Coturnix japonica: one gene and its partners. The protein of the gene in region 3 interacts with the protein of the main gene of each other region in a biochemical or structural test. Links are inferred from orthologs where the notes say so. Each region holds a gene or a part of one and is shown on either strand. Other genes may lie near its edges. The genes, in order: DOCK1, RAPGEF1 and CRK.

What was found.
Region 1: the proteins of CRK (region 3) and DOCK1 form a complex in vitro, tested with the Homo sapiens proteins (3 studies listed by BioGRID and IntAct, with this or other methods). The link is inferred for Coturnix japonica from reciprocal best matches to the Homo sapiens genes CRK and DOCK1.
Region 2: the proteins of CRK (region 3) and RAPGEF1 form a complex in vitro, tested with the Homo sapiens proteins (4 studies listed by BioGRID, with this or other methods). The link is inferred for Coturnix japonica from reciprocal best matches to the Homo sapiens genes CRK and RAPGEF1.

The regions. Positions count from the first base shown.
Region 1 is NC_029521.1:29,265,244-29,268,892, forward strand, and holds part of DOCK1 (dedicator of cytokinesis protein 1), read left to right. Parts: intron 1-734; coding exon 735-892; intron 893-1,432; coding exon 1,433-1,514; intron 1,515-1,932; coding exon 1,933-2,068; intron 2,069-2,222; coding exon 2,223-2,295; intron 2,296-3,649. UniProt on the Homo sapiens protein: Involved in cytoskeletal rearrangements required for phagocytosis of apoptotic cells and cell motility. Along with DOCK1, mediates CRK/CRKL regulation of epithelial and endothelial cell spreading and migration on type IV collagen.
Region 2 is NC_029532.1:4,849,409-4,853,057, forward strand, and holds part of RAPGEF1 (rap guanine nucleotide exchange factor 1), read right to left. Parts: intron 2,067-3,649; coding exon 1,888-2,066; intron 1-1,887. UniProt on the Homo sapiens protein: Guanine nucleotide-releasing protein that binds to SH3 domain of CRK and GRB2/ASH. Transduces signals from CRK to activate RAS. Involved in cell branching and adhesion mediated by BCAR1-CRK-RAPGEF1 signaling and activation of RAP1.
Region 3 is NC_029534.1:3,973,323-3,977,071, forward strand, and holds the start of CRK (adapter molecule crk), read left to right. Parts: upstream 1-1,252; 5' UTR 1,253-1,381; coding exon 1,382-1,625; intron 1,626-3,749. UniProt on the Homo sapiens protein: Involved in cell branching and adhesion mediated by BCAR1-CRK-RAPGEF1 signaling and activation of RAP1.

The DNA of each region.
Region 1 (3,649 bases), on a different chromosome or scaffold from region 3:
TAGCACATTAGTATGTGCTGGGTTTTACTGAGGGTTTATTTTGGAGTGTCGCATAGAATGGTGCCCTCATGTCTGTGGGGTTTATGTTTACCAAGAGTGGAAAATTTGTTGAAGTTTGTAGTTTGCTGTTGAACATCAGCTGTCATGCAGAAACTTGGCTGAATGATGCTGCGACTCCAGTGGGACCCGGAGTGGGATGGACTGGGGCCACTTTGCAGCTTGATGCCAATGAGAAGAGTCTGCTTCCAGCGCCCTCCCTCCCATCTCCATTTTGTCCTATGTGTGCTTCTCCCTCCAGCCTAGATGAGGCGTTCATGGAAAGTCCTGTGGAGCTAATGGATAGAGGGTGGGCAGGTTGGCTGTAGAGCAGCACTGCTGGCTCTCCTGGCTGTCCTGGTGCTCTGAACGTGCCATGGGAGACACAGAAAAGTTTGCCTTTTTGCCAGGAGCAGCGTAGGCTCTTTTCTCCATCTGACTCGCTTCCTTTTATTTAATAAGTGAGTGCATCAAGGCATCTTAATTTATTTCATCTTGTTATTCCTTATGGAGTCCTGCTTTAAGATAGAATTTACAACAAACTGCATTTTCTTGATCAAATATAAACAAAGACAGCAAGAGCAGGCACACAACAGATAACTCCTTTTACTGTCTTAAAGGTTTCAGGAAGATTCTGTAACAGTTGGCTGTTTGTTAGGTTGAATTAAATTTAAGTTTCTTCTGTTCTTGAATTACAGTCTCAGAAACAGAACATCGATATCAACAGACAAGCCAAGTTTGCTGCCACTCCTTCGTTTGCTTTGTTTGTAAATTTAAAGAATGTAGTCTGCAAAATAGGGGAAGATGCTGAAGTCCTCATGTCTCTCTATGATCCCCATGAATCAAAATTCATCAGGTTAGTGTACTCCTGAGTCCACTCCCTTCTCTGTTCTTCCTCAGTCACAGCAGTGTGGTAGTTCTGCAGGATGGTGCAGGGCTTATGAAAGTCAAATTTCTGTGAAATGTGCAGGACAGGCTTATCTGGGAAGTAATGATGCAGCAGCACTTCAGTCGTATTCAGCACAGCATCCGGCAAGTCCCTTCACCCTGGGTACATTTCAGGGTCGTGCTCTTCCTTATCACACCATGTCTTTGGTTCCTCAAGTGCAGAGCTTAAATGAGACATGAACGCACCTGCAAGGCTGTGTGTGCTCTCTTGGCAGCAGCACTGACATCACTGTGAGCTGTTCCTGCACCCCTGCTACCTTGCAGAAGAGCTGCTTTTCTTGTTGAGTGATACATGCAAAGGAAAATGGCAGCTGTCTACTAAGTAAATATTAATTTGATTAGTAGATAGATTGGGCTTAAGATATTCTTCTGTAAGTTGATTTTATAACCGTACATTCAGTGAAGCCATTTAAAGAAAAAGATTCTTCAAAATGCTGTGTTTTTTCAGTGAAAACTATTTGGTGAGGTGGTCAAGCTCTGGGCTCCCCAAGGACATCGACAGGTTGCACAACCTCCGAGCAGTGTTCACTGTAAGTCTGGGTTGGGGTTGGTTCAGTTTGCGGAGCCTAAAGGATTTCTCTCACGTTCTGTGAATAACTGAGGAGTTATTAACCTCAGTGTGAATGGTGGAGTTGGCTCTGCCAGTCACAGTCCTGCTGGAGGCTCCTATGAGACATTTCTCATAAATGTCTCTTTAAAAACTTTTAAACACAAGGGTGAAGTTGCTCCGTGAAGGTTTAATTTACTAGAAATGACTTGACTTCCTAAGGAACTAATTCACACAGAAGTCAAGATAAGGCGTAACTACCGTTAGAAACATGCTTAAAATTCTGGGAACGATTTGTTCTTGTGCTACGATGACGAAGGCAAATGTTCTAAATGTACTGAATGGAACTTGTAATGCATTCGACTATGACAAAACAGTCTGACAAAACTTTATATTTCTAGGACCTGGGCAGCAAAGACCTGAAAAGAGAGAAAATCAGTTTTGTCTGTCAGATTGTGCGGGTGGGCAGAATGGAGCTGAGGGACAACAACACGAGGAAGCTGACGTCGGGGCTCCGGCGGCCTTTTGGAGTAGCAGGTAATTCTTGTTTGCAGCATCCCTAGGTGTCACATCGCATGGTTGCCTGAGCCTGTGCTTAATAACTGTTGTTTCCTGCCCCTCAGGGTGTCCCCTCACCACTCTTCTTCCTGCACTTATCCTTAAATTCAACGTACTTTGTTTTTGTTTTCAGTAATGGATGTTACCGACATAATTAATGGAAAAGTTGATGATGAGGACAAACAGCACTTCATACCATTTCAACCGTAAGTAACGAATTGCTTAAAGAATAAGCGGAAGTATAAAGATTGTGATTTTTTATTACAGGTTTAAATGTTGATTGCAAGGTGTGTTCTATAGTATTCTGAAGTTGATTTATCTCAGTCTGATAGCCTATATTAAGCATTACTTCTTAATTTTTGTTCTCGGCAATTTCCCAATAGTTATGGTACCATCAGCACCAAAAACTTGCTTTAAATTTTTTCAGTTGAGTTTTGAGGGTACATTCTTGGTTTTGTCCTGTTTTCCTTTTATTTATTTCTTTATTTTAAACATGAAGATGTCAGGGTTATCCCACTTCAGAAGCGCAGTGCTCGAAGTAGTTATGTTGCTGGTTCAGCACTGGCTAAGACTGAAAAAGGCATCCAATCCAGGTGACCTCTGTGAAAGGAGTTAATGACAGCACGTATCTTTTTCTTGGTAGGAGATGAAATGGCACAGTAAACAAAATTGTTGTAAAAGCAGTTGTAAAAATAAACGTTGAGAATTTGAAAGATGGCTTGATAAACGTCTTGGGATATTTCTCATTCTTTGGCCTTCATATGACCCTTCTCCAGAGCCATTAAATGGTTGGATGGTGAAGGAGATCTGCCTGCTGTGCATGTTATAGTCGATGTTGGACCATGGAGATCAGCATCCTGCTTGGTCCTGGTCTTGGTTTCAGTCTCCTGAACCTGCAGACCTTTTCTATTTTAACAGGGGAGAACTGTGGCAAAAGTTCACTTCTATCCGCAGTTCTTGGAGGTCTCTATTTTTTATTATGTGAAGTGTAGAAAGGTAGAAGGGATAGAAGGGATAAGTCAAATGCGTGTGTGTAGAGCTGCAGTGCTTGGCTTATTCTTTCTAAGAAATGTTATGCTGCCATCTGTTCAACACTGTGAAAGATAAAGTAACATTAACCAAAAATTCCTTGATTAATACGCTAATGGGTATTCAGAGGGGTTTTAGTAATAGAGAAAACCAACCAAACAAAAGAACTTGAAATGATGTGGTCACAAATTAAACTTCATTTTGGTAAAAAGGCTTTATTTTGGAAGTCCTCATGTTTGAAGATGAAGCGGTATAGATAGAATACCATGGTGCTGCTAGGAATGGACGTGTGCCTAATGTCTAAAATGGTTTTGTTTGTATGAAGCAGCATCCGTTGCAGTGAAAATCATAAGTGTAACTCTGTTTTTCAAGGGAAACAGACTTCGTTAGGGAAGAGCGCTTTCATGATATGTTTATTGTATGGCAAACAGTAGCAAGTGTGGAAATGTGCAGTGAAAATGAATCTGTGTGTGTCAAAGTGGATGCTAATGGCACATCTAGTTTTCATCTAGTTCCATTAAAATGGATCTG
Region 2 (3,649 bases), on a different chromosome or scaffold from region 3:
AGTGTTTGCCATTTGTTCTAATTTTAAACAAAATTAACTTAGTGGGAGATATTTCCTAAATAGGGCCCTCCTCCATCTCTTTCTCTGGCTTTGATTTCTTTGTGATTAATCTTTGTTCTGCTTCCTTCTAAGGAGGCAGTAATTGAAAGCCTATTTTGTGCTAGATTTAATTACTTTTTTCCTCGATGCAAACCCTTCCCCTAAAGCAAAAAGAAGCCCAACAGTAATTGTAGGGCTTTCTTCCACACTGACACAAGTCTTGCTCTCTTTTCTTGAGGGGGATTTACCATCAAAAGCAGCCCTTTGTGTCCTGCCACTACTCAAAATAAATAAAGTGCATATGTAGTCATGAAAGGACGTGGCTTTTAGGGAATGACAAATCCCCTTTTTCTCTGTGCAGCCAAACAAGGCAGAACATACACAAGGGATCTGTGCTGCAGTCCAGAATGAGAGATTCATCACTAAGGAGGACTCCACTGACTACTGACTACAGGAATTCTGCTTACAGGCTAAATGTGGATATCCAACTGTCAAGGTTATATTACCTCACTTCTAAGGGAAAGGGTAGGAGGAATTTGAAGAATAGAGCCATCTGAAATATTGCTGCTGCTGAAGACCACTTAGCTGATATTTATTTCCAATATATTCTTGGTAGGAAAGATCACCCAGCGGATACACAAATCAAAGCAAGCGACTACAAAGATGACATTTTCTATCCTAAAAATATTTGCTGACATTTTACATGTTCTCCTGATGTAACAGGAAAGTTTGTTCTTTCTTTCACTAAGTGAAAGCAGGTGCTTGTCAGGAATTTAATGACTGCAGAAAACCTGATAGCAACGGAAGAAACTTTTGTGCCCGAATCCAGAAGCCTGATGAATGCTCCAATTCTAACAGCTATTTCTCTTTGTACTTCCACAAACCCAACCTAAATTGCAGCCCCCCTGTCCCAGTCACAGCTCTGGTACTCACCATTGTCTCCTTCCCTTTGTGCTGTCAGATAAAAGCATGTCCTGTGTACTGGGACCAGACAGCACTATATCTCTGTTAATAAAATATCGGCACCCTACAGCTGTCTTGACCGTACCATAAACCCTTCTTGCTGCACAACTGTACAACTGAACATCTCAAAACCAAAAGTCTTGGAGATACATACTGGGAAAACAGGAATCCAGCAAAAACCAGCAGGATTCAGAAAAAATAATAATAATAAAAATATGTATGTGCATTTCTCTGTCTAATTTTGCATGTGTAATAATTTCGCTTATTCCTTATTGTTCAATGATATTTGTTTGCTTTTGTTTTTTAAATCAGTTTCTCCATCACCTACAAGCAGCAGGCAGGCAGATCTCTGCGGCTTGATGACACCACAGATTCTTTCAGTGGATGTCGAGCTTTGCTTTGGCCAACTTCTACATCCTTTCTGACTTCAAACTCGTCATCTAACTGGTTTAAATGTAATACAGTAGGCATCAGAGCAAGCCTATAATCAGTCTGTGGAGAGCACACAGGAATGAACTTAGACTGGCTGATCTGTTGAAGTACATTTGTTTATTTCTGTTCTATATCTGCTTCCGTAAAACAAAATAAAAAGCAAATAACCAACCAACAGTCAGCAGTGCAGGCTTTTATCAGTATGGATAAACTGAATGCAGACTGAATAAAACCATTCTAAGTTGTTTTATCTTTCCATAGCATGGACTTCTTCACAGCACGGAGTTTGTTTCTAGTAGTGCTTGAAAATTATCCACTGTTTAGTAAGAATGGCAGACAACCTCTTTGTTACTATTACCATTTTCCATCTCACATGCCACACAATACAAAAAAGAAAGAAGCTGAGGAGCCTGCTGCTCTGCCATAGCTCCAAAACCCAAGAAGGAAAGCTACCTTTGTTGGATGCGTGGGTCAGTTTGCACCAGGGGCAGGATGGCTTCCAGCACTTTACTTGCTGAGCCTGGCAGCATCTCTAATACTTTCTTATCAATTGCCATTTTGTCCACAATCGTCTTAAAGTAGCGCAGCGCACTGACGACCTCCTTCTCCTTCTCCTCTAGCCATGACACGTTCTGGAGAGGAAGAAAAAGTGAGAGAAAAGTTAAAATGTCAGGATTTTAAAGGGAAAAGTTACTTTTACTTATCTGAAGAGGATAGAGTGAAACTGAAAAGGTACATTCTACTTCAGAATACTAGAAAAGAAAACCCTTCCACCATAAATATGATCCTTTCAAGGGAACAGTCAGAGCAAAATTGTACTCATATTTTGACTTTCTGAATTACAAGATGTGCATTGCAAAATGAAGGCTAACTAGATCAGTTTTTGGATAAGATTAACGTTACTGCTGATTTCTAATAGTCCTAATAGGCATCGTGATGGTGCTGGGACAAGGGAACCCACACACCTTCCATAGGGACAGACTGTGAAAGCCAAGCTTTGGCATCAGTTAATGGATGTTGCAGAAGGGAACAATTCATTGGCATACAGCTGAGCTGTTACCAACAACTTCTGTGTCATCACCAACACGAGGAAAGGAAATTCAGAAGTGATATATGACATCCTAATGGCATTCTGGATGGGGCTATTTAGGGAAAAAAAAAGAAGTTTAGCAGGGTATGCCTGGAGGACTTTTAATGCCACAAGTAGTTCCTAAGTGAGATTTAAATTAACTACTGAACATTGCTAGAAAGGAGCAGAGAGCTTAACAGAGTCAGGTTTCATCCATTATCTCTTCAGTAAATTCAGCTTCAAGAATTAATGACCTATGGGCATTGTGAGCTCCCTGTACTCTTGTCAGCAGTTGAACTGCTGCTTTCTTACAAAATCAGGCCAGCAGCCCAAAAGGCTTCAGGATGAACAATTTACAGGCAGCACTGGTTAGTAACCAGGGGCCAGATCCATAAAGAGAGTCCCAAGTCCCACCTAGCTCTGACTTTTGAAGCCTAAGTCCAAATCCACTCCGTCATTTCCATCTCATCTGGGAAGCCCCAAGCTTTGCTGCTGCCTCCCCTTCTGACAAAGCAGCTGGCTGGGCCTTTCCATTCCTGCTTCACAGCCCACCCACAGCCACTGAACTTTACTGCTGAGGAGCATCCTGGCAACTCAATGATCACAAAAAAACCACCACATTTCCCATTCTTCAGGCATGTACCCTCAGCACTGCACGGCCCATTCCAGGCTATGGAGAGGCACTTCATATGAAACCATTACAGATTTCAGGGATGAGAGAGGCTGGACGTTCCGCAGGCAGAATGCCTATGGCCTGCGGTCAGAGCTCTCAAACAGAAGTGAAAAAAATGCAGATTGCAGTTCCTGCTCTGATTAATGTTTATATATTCATTCAACAACTGCTTCCTGTAGAAAGGCTTGTGACTTAATAGCTTAAACACTCTCCTGGACACAGGAGGGATGGGCCTGGGAATGACACGTGGAAACACAATGCTTTCCACTGAGCACACCAAGGCATCCACATCAGCCACCGGATGCTATTTGGGACACAGCCCTTTTTTACCATGATTTCCCTGCTAGCTCATTGGGAAAGAACCCAAGGGGAGCACCTTTTATGCAGCTGTTTCTCAGCTCCAAAGACCTCATATCAATGTGAGAATATATACACATAAACATGCACAAAAAAAGCCTGCGTGTCCTAAAAGA
Region 3 (3,749 bases):
GTTCATACAAAACACAATACCAAAGCCACTCCATGAGACAGTCACAGGGCTTCCCAATGCCTCACAAGAAAGCAAAGGTGCTGTGAGCCAGCACATGCACTTGCACAGTTAAGGGCAGCTGTGCTCCATGTTTATGCAAGTGCTGCCACATGGAGGCCACACAGTTGAAAATACACATTCCTTTGGGGGAAAAAAAAAAGCTTATAGAATTGAGCAGAGCTGGAATGGAATTGTCTATGCAGTTATCCAGACTCTGAAGATGTTACTCTGGAACTTGAAGCTAATCTAAACTTGGTACCTATTTCTCCATCCTTATAATTCTTAATGGTGCATACACCCACATGCACATTCCCCTGCAGCAGAAATGGAAGTGAAGCAACTTTATCTGCAGGCTCCTGCGGTCAGTGATCTTCTCAGGGTCAGAAACAGCTTGTTTTTCCACAGGGCTCTACTTAACACAGAACATCTCCCTGGGAAGGGTTTTCCAGTGGTTTTCCATGCAAACAGCTGTGAGGCAGGAAAATGCAGCTGGCTGGGAAGGTGAAAGCACCAACTGCAGGTGGCAGCTTCTCTCTGAAGGAAAAAAGACAATGAATTGAATCCTCAATGGAGGGACAGGAAGATGATCAGGGGCTGGAGCACCTCCCCTCTGAGGACAGGCTGAGGGAGTTGGGTTTGTTCAGCCTGGAGAAGAGAAGGTTGCGGGGTGACCTCATTGCAGCCTTTCAATACCTGAAGGGAACCTATAACCAGGAGGGGAGTAAACTCTTGGAAAGGGCTGACAATAGCAGGACACGGGGAAATGGTTTGAAGTTAAAAGAGGGAAGATTTAGGTTGGATGTCAGGGGGAAGTTCTTCACTAGGAGAGTGGTGAGGCCCTGGAACAGGCTGCCCAGGGAGGTTGTGGATGCCCCGTCCTTGGAGGTGTTCAAGGCCAGGTTGGACGGGGCCATGGGCAACCTGATCTAGTAAAGGTGTATGTTTGGTGGCCCTGCCAGGCAGGGGGTTGGAACTACATGATCCTTGAGGTCCCTTCCAACCCGGGTCATTCTGTGATCCTGTGGGTGCCCAGACGGACCCTCCGCACTCACAATCAGGTCTCACCTACAAGGCAGCACACACACAGCTCCCCTCAGACCCTGCGCTCCACCCAACGCGCATGCGCAGCCCCCACAGGCCGCCAACCGTCCCCAAGGCCGCGCGTTGTGATGACGTCACGTATCCCCCCGCGTCTCCCGCGTGCGGTCACTTCCGGTAGGTGAGGTCAGGGTAGGGGCCGCCATTTTGGTGCGGTAGGGCTGGGCGCGGAGCTGGGCACCGCGGGCGGCGGCGGCCCGCGGGGCGGGGGCAGCGAGTGCGGCCTGCGGGCGGGACGGCCCCCATGGCCGGGCAGTTCGACTCCGAGGACCGGGGGAGCTGGTACTGGGGGCGGCTGAGCCGGGCCGAGGCGGTGTCGTTGCTTCAGGGGCAGCGCCACGGGACCTTCCTGGTGCGAGACTCGGGCACCATCCCCGGAGACTTCGTCCTGTCGGTGTCTGAGAGCTCCCGCGTGTCGCACTACATCGTCAACAGCCTGGGGCCGGCGGGAGGACGAAGGGCCGGCGGAGAGGGCCCCGGGACCCCGGGTGAGTGACCCCCAGGGCTGGCCGTGCCCATCAGCCGCTGCGGGCCCCGCTCTGCGCCTGGTCCCTGCAGCTCCGCTCTGCTCACGGCCGGGTCTGAGAGTCGTGGTGGAGTCGTGTTGTGTTGGAGTCGTGTTGCTCTTTGTAGAGGACTTAATTCAATCTCGCCTTGCAGCCGTTTCCCTGCACCTGCCTCGCATCTAAACGATGGGACAGAGCGCAGCCCGGAGCCGTCACACTTTTACAGCTTTATGCCTTCTTTCGTTTTGTTTTAATTTGTGGGTGAGGTGTGTCAGCGTGGAGATGGATCCCTGGAAGTGTCAATTCAAAGGTTGAATTGGGTTGGAATAGTTGAGAGTTAAGAGGACAGATTGTGAGGCTAAACTTAGTCGTGAATCAAAGCTGGGTGGGAGCAGTGTAAAGGCGTTTGTTCCTTTAGATCAGATACGGAATTCAGGGTTCCCCCTCCTACACACACCTTGTGTTGTAAAGGGAGATTTGATGTTATTCCTCATCAACCTCTAATACAAACATAATGTACTTAAGTTAACCCTTGAAGTGTTGCTTTTGCATTGCAGAAAGCAATGATTCTGAACGCACAAGTGACCTGGAGCCTTCAGCAATGTATAATCTATCGATGTGTGATGAGAAGGTTGAATTAAGCAGCAGCCCTGATGGGGGCATTGCTGATGTTGGCGGTGGAGCCGCTCCTGTCTGGATGTTAATGCTCACAGAATGATGTGGGCGAATTGCTGGCATCTCTGAGAAACCACTACAAAGTCTGGAAGGCTGTATAATAAGGCTGTGTAATAGGAGAGCTAATGAACCTGACGAGGAGTGAAGTTAGGACATAGGTTGCTACAGAGACAGAAAGGCTGTGCAGACTGTAGTTGATAAAGAAGGAATCTGTTGGTGGTGGGTGGGTTTGCACCATTCTACAGTGATCTCTCCTGATTGGGGTAACGTTTAGAATTGACAAACTGGGGAAAGCCTGAAGTCATTGGGTTCATCACAGGAATCTGCCGCTGCTGTAAGGTGTGCTTCAGTCACACAAAGCTCTGCAATGCAGGAGATAAAGGTGGCTGCATTGAACTGGAAGCGAAGCGGGTAGTGAAGTGGTTTACCACAAGATACATTCGGTTCCTCAGCGTTTCATGTCTTATCAAGGCAAAGGTTTATTTTCATAGGTTGATGTGTGAAACGTGTGGTTGTTACACAGAGCAGAATAAGCTTCTATGGTGATTTGTAGTGGAGTCCATCCTGAGCTTTATTACTTTTTGGAAGTCCACTTTTTCCCCACCTTGATGTTATTGGAATAGGTGCTGCTTTGCTTTCACACCAAAGGTATTTTTGTGCTGAAATTCAAGTGGGTTTAAATGAATGTCATGCTGATGCTGTGCGCTTTTCACGCTCAAAGGAAGAAAGTGTGTGTGTAGTAAGTTACGTTTAACCTGTAATTAAGAATTTCCTCCAGGGAGAAATGTTCTTTAAAGGAAGGGACGTGCTATTATTGCTATAAGGTTGAAGATGATTTCAGGTTTGGATGGGGAAGGTAGTGCAGTGAAATGAGGTAAATGTTCACAAGTAGCTATTTTGGAAAAACCAACTTTACCATGTCAGTTTTCTATATGGTCTACTTATTTTTATTGCAATTGATTGTTTGACAGATGCACACAACTCACTGGAAAGCCTAAATATGCCCGGTCAGGTTCCTGTGTTGATTTATTGGCTTCAGGTGATTGAAATGCATGTGTGATTTGTGACTGCTTGTACCCTGCTGTGTGCAGGTGACAGTAGGAACCTGACTTTAAACCCATCACGTCTTTGCAGTTTGACATACAAGGATAGGGCCGTGATGTCTGGTGTACACTCAAACATCTAAAGACATCAGGCCAGAAGCCTGAAAGCCTTAACGTTTTTCTTTATGACATAGAGAAGTGTGACAGAGTGGAAGGTGATGTTTTCAGTAAGTATTATGCGTCTTAAGAACGTGCTTATTGCGCTCCATTGTGATTTTCTGAAGGATTCAGGCTGCACTTCCTGGACTCATGTTTTTATAGAGCATTCCTGAGTGCTTGTCTCAGTAGTGAGCAGACAGGCACTGAAGAACAAGGAGAAGAAGGTGTC